2 linked regions of the Tribolium castaneum genome follow. The protein of the gene in region 1 purifies or fractionates together with the protein of each later gene. This does not show direct contact. Links are inferred from orthologs where the notes say so. Each region holds a gene or a part of one and is shown in the gene's direction. Other genes may lie near its edges. The genes, in order: RISC-loading complex subunit tarbp2 and Dcr-2.

The links.
Region 2: the proteins of RISC-loading complex subunit tarbp2 (region 1) and Dcr-2 purify together in Drosophila melanogaster (affinity purification with western blotting; 9 studies listed by BioGRID, with this or other methods). This does not show direct contact. The link is inferred for Tribolium castaneum from reciprocal best matches to the Drosophila melanogaster genes loqs and Dcr-2.

The regions. Positions count from the first base shown.
Region 1 is NC_087395.1:26,693,570-26,697,868, forward strand, and holds the start of RISC-loading complex subunit tarbp2, read left to right. Parts: upstream 1-1,217; 5' UTR 1,218-1,362; intron 1,363-1,656; exon of another isoform or gene 1,657-1,664; 5' UTR 1,665-1,735; coding exon 1,736-1,762; intron 1,763-1,879; coding exon 1,880-2,020; intron 2,021-2,075; coding exon 2,076-2,362; intron 2,363-3,269; coding exon 3,270-3,570; intron 3,571-3,785; coding exon 3,786-3,935; intron 3,936-4,003; coding exon 4,004-4,252; 3' UTR 4,253-4,299. Other genes in the region: GATOR2 complex protein WDR24, read right to left, coding at 1-16.
Region 2 is NC_087397.1:4,128,563-4,133,069, reverse strand, and holds the start of Dcr-2 (Dicer-2), read left to right. Parts: upstream 1-1,685; coding exon 1,686-1,840; intron 1,841-1,891; coding exon 1,892-2,124; intron 2,125-2,411; coding exon 2,412-2,652; intron 2,653-2,700; coding exon 2,701-3,634; intron 3,635-3,741; coding exon 3,742-4,026; intron 4,027-4,072; coding exon 4,073-4,285; intron 4,286-4,338; coding exon 4,339-4,507. Other genes in the region: uncharacterized protein LOC103315209, read right to left, coding at 1-958.

The DNA.
Region 1 (4,299 bases):
CGTGAAATGTAGCCATTGTTTACATATTCTTGACACTTCTTTGATAAAATCCAGCGATTTATAAATTTGACACTGATAAAGTTTAATTTATAATTACTACGTTCAGTCACGCGTTTACTTAGTCATTTTTTATTATAAAGAAATAGTTTTTAGTCATTTTTTTATATTTAACAAAAAAATGCGAGGTTAAAAGGAATAACCTAAAAACGTCAAGTCTGACGTTTCACGTTTCCTAGAAATCAGTAGCTTCCAAACAATTACCAGTTATAGCCATACAATACAACAGAGAAGCAGTACATTTTAATAATCAGAAGGGAAAAAGTGATTGTTATTAAAACATTTTATTTGGGTTAAATAAATGTTACATAACATATTTTTTACTTATCTGGGTGGTGGTGCCACCAAATCATAATTATAATTATCTCCGAGTGTGTAATAATTTTTACCATCATCATCTTTGGCCCAATTATTGAAGGGCGATGGTGGTTGTTTATGAACAACTTTAACAGGGGCAGACTTAAGTCCCATTCTGATGTATCCCACGATTGATGACATAATTAAACTCATAGTACTTAAAAGTATTGCAATGCTTGACATTACGGCCATAGTTTTAAAAGCTAACGGAAAAATAATAGATTTGATCATTAAAGCTCCGAAAAGAAGTGGTACAGTGTATTTGCTGCCACCTCCTTTTTTCTTTTTACGCGCTCCTTCCATTTCTAAAATTTTAAATTAGAAGAATTACACAATAGTATACAGTAACTTTTTTATTAAGTTTTCTTACCATTTGTAGCAATGAAACTGTCGAAGATAATTTCAGAGCTTGGAGAGAATGTTAACAAAAATACAAATACCAAAACAAGCGTTCGTAAACGCATCTTGGTCAGAAATGAGGATCTTGTGTGATTTTTTTACAGTCTAGTTGGTCGTAAATAGGCTAAGAATATGACAATTTTAAAATTACACATTTTTAAATAGTTTTCAAGCGGAAAATTGGGCGATTTGTGATTACTTTGACAAGAGGATGTTAAGAGATGTGTAATTGTAAATAAAATACATCAGTAAAAAGTAAAAATTATTGTTTTTGGATCAAATTTATTATTATTATCTTGCAAATATTAAAAAATAGTGAAATGACCAAAATTCATGTTGGTAACCACATTTTTCGTCGTTTATGGATTTCTAAAAAGAACAAAAGTTGGTAGCAACGAATTCCCGCTAAGTGGCGCTACTGTAGAATGTTACTTCTTCGCATGCGAACTGTTTAACCATTTGACGTTTGTGTCCATCAAAAAACGTCGCCATTACAGTGTTTATAGCGACGATTGTATTTCAAAGTGTAATAAAAAATTCTAAATAATTGTAAGTAATTTTACTGTTTTACATATAATTTTGCTACAATAGAGTTGTGTTGTCTATTGCGAATTATGGGTTGTTAGTGGAATATTTATGAACCTTCTTTACCGGCTCTTTTTACAAAAATTATAATAACAAAAAAATTTGGAGTAAATTTGTATTTTAAGTACCGAAACTAATAGTTTTAGTTAAAAATTTTGACCGTTGCTTTAGGGGTGTGAATGCGAAGGGGTCGCTTTGTTGAAACCGTTACCAGTTTCTCTCTCTTTTCTTTTGTGTTGTTGATTTAAAATCTTTGAGTTGTGTAGGGCGAATGGAATATAATTTGCTCGTTTTCTTCAGTACGGGAAGCGGAAATTAAGGGCCGACAAGCGGCGAGATGTTTGTACCTCCGCCAGTTGAACAGGTAAAGAAATTTAAAAAAATCGAGGATTTGTTATGCCTTTATTCTCGTGGTGATGGTCGGTTTTTTATTCGCGCCAGTTTTCCAATTGTCAAACCTTGCAACGATTTTTCTTTTCAGCAATTTCGCATGGACCCAAATATGACGCTTCTGCATTCCTCAAGTCAAATACACAACGTCCATCCTAGGAGGAAAAACAACAGAAATACTTTACACGGAATGCAGGCTGAACGCTTGTCTCTGAGCGAAGAGGCTAAATTGGTGCGATTTTTCTAATTATTATTATAATTTTTTTTTGATACTAACTGAGTTTTAGGAGATGGCGTCGTTGCCGACCAAAACTCCTGTTTCAGTACTTCAGGAGTTATTAAGTCGTCGTGGGGCGACGCCTAAGTACGAACTAGTCCAAATCGAGGGGGCTATTCACGAACCTATATTCCGCTACAGGGTGTTTATTAATAACGATTTGGTTGCTACTGGAACAGGGAGGTCGAAAAAAGACGCCAAACACGCTGCTGCGAAGAATCTGCTTGATGTTTTGGTCGGCAAACAGAGTCCAGAACAAGCCAACGCTTCTAACGGGACTCCCGGAGCCAACGATATGTAAATAAATCAGCATATAACTACGGAAAACTAAATATTAGGAGGCGAAACGAATTTCAATTTTTTTTTTGGATATCTATTGCTGGTGATTCAATCAAACATAAAATGGAGCTAAAAAACATATTCTTTCCTTTATTGTTGCACATTTTACTATTTTCGAGAAGTTTATGAAATATAGTTAGATTAGTCTGTGAACTACTTGAGGTTTAGTTTAAAATTGATACGAAAATAAGGCTATATTTTGATGAACTTACAAATCACACACATACACACACACACACATACACATGACTTTGCAAAGAAAAGTCGCATATTGTAAGAGAATTTTATGAACTCATTGAAGAACATCACAAGAGTATGTTTTTAAATTTACATTTTCTTTGGCTGATTTTGATCGATTTAGCTTACTTACTATTTAACAAAAATCTTTATAAAAAAACGTTAATGAAAAAGTTGGAATTTTTTAATAGAGTTATTGTCCTTTTTCTGTTGATTTGTTCCACATATTGGCCGATTTGTTAAATGAAAACTTGTCTCATTTAAGAAAATTTCTTTCTTGTTGTCGATACAGTTTGTATTTTTCCTAATGTTTCATTATTTGACAAAATTTATTCTTTAACAAAAAACGCAAATTTAAATCGCAATAATTAATATACTTATACGGTTATTATGTAAATCAAAGCAAATATTTGCAAAAAAATTTATTTACGTAAAATTTGAAAATTTCTTTACGTATTTTACGTAAACTCCCATTTTTTTTGCGTTATATAAATACTGCCAAATTAAATTTACTGCTGTTAAAGAAAACGAAAGGAGAATTTATTTGTACGTCGTGTCGTATCCTAATTTTTAGGTATCCGTACGGCCAATAAATCGCAACGTCTAACATTTGAAATATTGTATTCAGTACAGCTCAAGTGGTGTCTCCGTTTGATGATAAAGTTATGGGGAACCCTATCGGTTGGCTCCAGGAGATGTGCATGTCTCGGAGATGGCCTCCACCGTCCTATGAGATGGAACATGAGGAAGGTCTTCCACACGAACGCCAGTTCACGATAGCTTGTCAAGTGTTAAAATTCAAAGAAGTCGGTACTGGCAAGTCAAAAAAATTAGCTAAAAGAATGGCAGCACACAAAATGTGGCAGGCCCTGCAAGATATGCCTCTAGAGGGCAATAATCTGCCGCAAGGTTACGACGACGATGAAGAGGTAAGACGTTTCTGTTGATTTAGTTTAGTTTTTTCGTTTGGCTTTCCTTCTTCAGACATGGATGCTTTTTGTGTTTGCTTATTGTTAATAAAAAATTGGATCTTGCTGAGGTATTTTTACGATCTTTCAGAGCGCGCTGTACAAAATTGAAATGAATAAAATTCGTAAAAATAATCCCGAGCAAATCTGTCTCAATTCAATGACGTATTTTGTAGTTGGCGGCGAAAATGTGTAACTTACAAGGACGCTACAGTGGTCTGAAAGATAGTAAAATACCGACACTCAACATACAACACACCCAAAAGGTGTCACAGTTTCACAAAGCCCTCAAGCAGTCCAATGGGCCGAAGCTAAAGGAGTTGCAGGTAAACTACTTGATTTAGCAAAAATGCGAAAATTGTATCGTTTTTACATTTGTATAAATCGTTTCCAGAACATAGTTCTCAACAGCAAAGACTTCAACTTCATTCAGTTTTTGCATGAAATTGCGTCCGAGCAACAATTTGAAGTAACTTATGTCGATATAGAGGAGAAAGCACTATCTGGCAAAAGTCAGTGCTTAGTACAGCTTTCTACATTACCGGTAGCGGTGTGTTACGGTGCCGGAGCGACACCGAAGGAAGCGCAATCAGCGGCTGCTTTGAATGCACTCGAATATTTAAGAATAATGAGCAAGAAGTGAATTTCGAGCTTATGATCGTTTACACTTCAAACATCTGCAACTTTTTT
Region 2 (4,507 bases), on another chromosome or scaffold:
CACTGTAAACAACACTTGTTTGTGAGTGGTTTAGAAGAATTTTGTACAAGCATAATCTCCATTCAATTTGCAAATGTTTAATGGACCCCAACATGTGCAAAGAAGGCTCGATAAAATGCAACTGTTTCTCGTTTGAAACATCGAGGAGAGTGAAATAGTTGCGCCAGATTTTTTCAATTTCAGACTCATTTTCGACTTTTAGGTAATTGGGAATGTGGGGGATATTTTCGGGTTTGAACGCAATTTCGGTACTTTTGGATAACAAATAAATCGCTTGTTTTTGTGACTGGGTTGATAAAGACTCGATTACGAGTTTCCAAAACTCATCAACTTTCAAAACATTGAAATTATTGCTAGTTAAATCAACAGGAATGAAATGGGCCCACAATACACACAAAAAGTCCAGTCTTTTATTATCCCTGATAAATTTAAACGCATTTTCTAAAAACAAATTCTTATTGTTCCGACTACACACAGTAAAGTAGTTAGGTAGTAAATAAATCGTAACAAAAGTGAACAAAGGTTTTGATGAAGCTACCAAAGTATTTAAAATCCCATTGGAAAACTCGTCACTTTTCCATTCCATTAGAGCCAGTTTTTCGCTCTTATAATACTCAAAAAGTACGTTTAACAAATTGCAACAGTAATAAAGTTCGTCAAGGCTTCGACTTGACTGCAATTTGCTTAAGCAGAAAGACTGGGTTTGCGACAAAAGAGTATTATCTCGCGTAACGTATAAAGCACGTTTTAAAATTTCTGCTGCCAAATCTACATCTACATCACTGTCGTAAAGGGAGTTCAAAGACAAGGTGATTTTCTCACACTGGCCCCCAATGATCCGTTCGTGCTTGACTTCAAGAAGGGGTTTCAAAGTTTGCAAACAGGCCGTGTCTTGAATTAAACTGTCCAAGACTTCGTCAGTTAAGAGCTTTTCTAGCAGTTCCTTGGATGATTCCATTTTAATTAGCGTTGAAAGAACACATTTCAAACACAAATTTTCTTGGTTAAGTAAACTGAGCTACTGTAAGCTACCGTAGCTACTAACTTTTGATCTACTACAAATGTATTACAAGCTTAATTAAATAAATAGTAAGTATTTATTCAGTTATCTTATTAATGTTGCTTGTACTTTTTGTGAAAAACGGGCAATCAATTAAAAACCCGAAATATTATTCGAGTTAGTTCCATTAGGTTTTTGCAGTAGTTCCTGTGTTCCAATATCACCCCACCCCACTTTTCACAAGTGGAAAAACAAGTGAAATGTCAGAAAAAAATTAGTTTTTTTTAAAGAATTGTGTTCACTCATTCATCTCCTTATCATCTTCATGTAAGTACCCAGTAATTAAGTATTGTTACAATGATTACAAACCGTATTATTTGTTACTCTGGCGAGGTTAAGTCCTTATTTATTTTGATTTATTTTATATAAATTTCACAATTTATTAAGAATTTTTCAAGTGGAAAATGCGCAAAAATAAAATTTGCTACCTGCGCATTTTAGTTCAGAAAGTTCTAGAAATTCCTCCCGGGGATTCCCCCGTCTTCCTACTGTCAATGACGTGGCTTAAGCTAAAATCACTCCCCTTGTTGCAAAATATTTCCAGATGCCAGTAGTGCTGTTTTTCAGTGTGAACACGTATCCAAAAAAATTTTTTTCGCCCCCGCTTTAAGAACTTTTTATTAAAATGGACGAAGAAGACGAACTTAAACCTCGTAACTACCAAGTCAATTTGATGGAAATTGCCATTCGGGAAAACACAATTATTTATCTACCGACTGGATCGGGTAAAACTTTTATTGCAATAATGGTTTTGAAGCAGTTGTGCGCCCCCATATTGAGGTATTTCTGTTGCTTCAAAGTACGATTTTAATCTGAGGCAATACTGTTTAGACCCTACAGCGATGGTGGAAAGATTTCAGTTATATTGGTTAATTCTGTGGCTTTGGTGGATCAACATGGTAAGTATGTAAGAGACCACGCCACGTTCAGTGTGGGAACTTACACTGGAGAGATGAATGTGGATTTTTGGAGCGAGGCAGAATGGGAACAGCAATTTAATAAGTATCAAGTTGTTATAATGACCAGCCAAATCATGGTAAATCTCATCAACAACCGCTTCATAGGTAGGTGTCCCATTCTCCCGCAAAATACAACTTTCAATGCCTACAAGCTTTCGTATTTTTTATTTATCTCCAAATGGCGAATTTCCTTGGTCATTAAACGAATTAAATGTAATTATTAAACGCAAATTTTGCTTTTATTAAAAAGTACCTGAATCTTTGCCCCTTTGCTTTGATTTGAAATGGAATATTTAAAATAATGAATAAATCAATAAGTGTAAGAAGGTAGATAATTTTTTATTGGGAAAAAACATAGTGTGGGTAACCAGTATTTTTAATTAAATTTGTAGATTTGGGAAAAGTAAACTTGATGATTTTCGATGAATGCCACCATGGTGTGGAAGACCAGCCAATGCGCCAGATAATGAAACACTTCCACAGCTGTACCGACAAGCCTCGAGTTCTTGGTCTTACAGCCACGTTATTAAATGGCAATTGCAAATTGTCGAAAGTCATGGATGAAATAAGGTCTTTGGAGGTGACCTTCCACAGTAAAGTGGCCACTGTGGAAGGATTAGACGTAGTTGTTGGGTATTTTCCCAACAATAAAATCGCGTAAAATTCACCACTTTGTCTTAGATATTCGACCAATCCGCAAGAACTATTTAAAGTTTGCCAGCCGGGCGCTTTGTCGCTTGATGCCAAACAAGTACTGAACAACTTGCGTCAACTGATAAATGATTTGGAACATATTAATATCAAAGATGAGCAAAACAGTGTGAATTTATTACAGTCTGAAACCTTGAAACCGCTTGAGCCATCCGATGTGTTGAAAAGTCTGAGAAACTTGATTTCAGACCTAATGATTCACATTGAAATGTTAGGGGCATTCGGTGGTCACATTGCCTGTGTGGCGCATATGATCCAAATAGAACGTATAAAAAAGCACTGCCAGAACCACCAACTCTTCATAGTGTTGAATTACGTCATGACCATAATGGGGACGACAAAACTACTTCTGGAGGAAACCATGGCCGGTTATGAGCCGCTCGAAAAAATTCGAAAATTCTCCTCTGACAAAGTACTGAAAGTGTTTGAAATTTTGGACGAATACAAAACCAAATCGGACGAGGAACTTTGCTGTTTAGTCTTCACCAAAAGGCGGTTCACAGCCAAGGTCCTCCACCACATTATCGACAAAGCTAGCCAAGTTGATCCCAAATTCTATCATATCAAGTCAAATTTCGTCGTTGGAAATAAGAATAATCCCTACAACGACACCCGAGAGAATTTATATATAACAAAAAAGAACCGAGAGGTGCTCAACAGCTTTGTCAGCAAGGAAATCAACGTTTTGGTCAGCTCGAACGTGTTGGAGGAGGGAGTGGACATACCTAAGTGCACTCTCGTCATCAAATTCGACAAATCGGAGGACTACCGTTCGTATATCCAGTCGAAAGGACGCGCAAGACATATCAAAAGTTTATACTACACCATTGTAGAAACGACTGACGTAGCAAAGTACGATAAAAAATACTCCGCTTTCAAGGAAATCGAAAACCTGGTGAATGATGTGAGTAGTGGCTTTTGCTTCCAAATTAAAACTGCCAAATAATCCAAGTTACTTTGGCAGGTACCCTTGTTACCATGCGTTTTAGTAAACAAGTGCCCCGTTTTCAGCTTCTCATCGGCAAAAATTCTGAAAGAGATCATCCAAACTTGTCGGAAATCCGCAACATGTATAATGAAGACAAGCTTGAGCCCTACTACGTAAACGGCCCCAATTCGGCACAAGTAAACATGACCTCGGCCGTAGCTCTCTTGTGCCGTTACTGCAGTAATTTAGCAAGTGACAAATACACCACTTACGCCCCTGAGTGGTATTATGAAGAGGATTCTAGCAGCGCAAAATTGCGGGTTGTGATATTTTTGCCCGTTGTGTGCCCTCTTATCGACCCCATTGTCGTAAGTAATTTTTTTTACAGTCTTCGAGTTGTAAATGAATATTTAGGGCCCTTACATGCACAACAAAAAAGACGCAAAAAGAGCAGCCGCACTAGTCGCATGTATAAAGCTACACCAGTGCGGCGAACTTGACAATAATTTGTTGCCATGGAAGAAGCAGTTGGATGAAGCCGATGTTTCCTATCTTTTCACGCACTGGCCACAAGAAAAGGAAAGCGACGCCGGAAATAAGAAAAAGAAGAGGTTGCACGATAAAGAGGCAAGTGATCCGTTTCAAAAAGAAATAATTCTAATTTTTGCGAGCGGTTGTAGATCGCTCCGAGTGTGAAGAGTGCAATCCAGCCGGACAGAGTCCTCTATTTGCACACTATTAACATAAATCCGCAATACAAAAGAAGCGACGATTTGAAAAACGCGGTCACTATTTACGACCTGTACAAAACACCGTTAAAGTTTGGTTTGTTATCGCCGAAACCGTTGC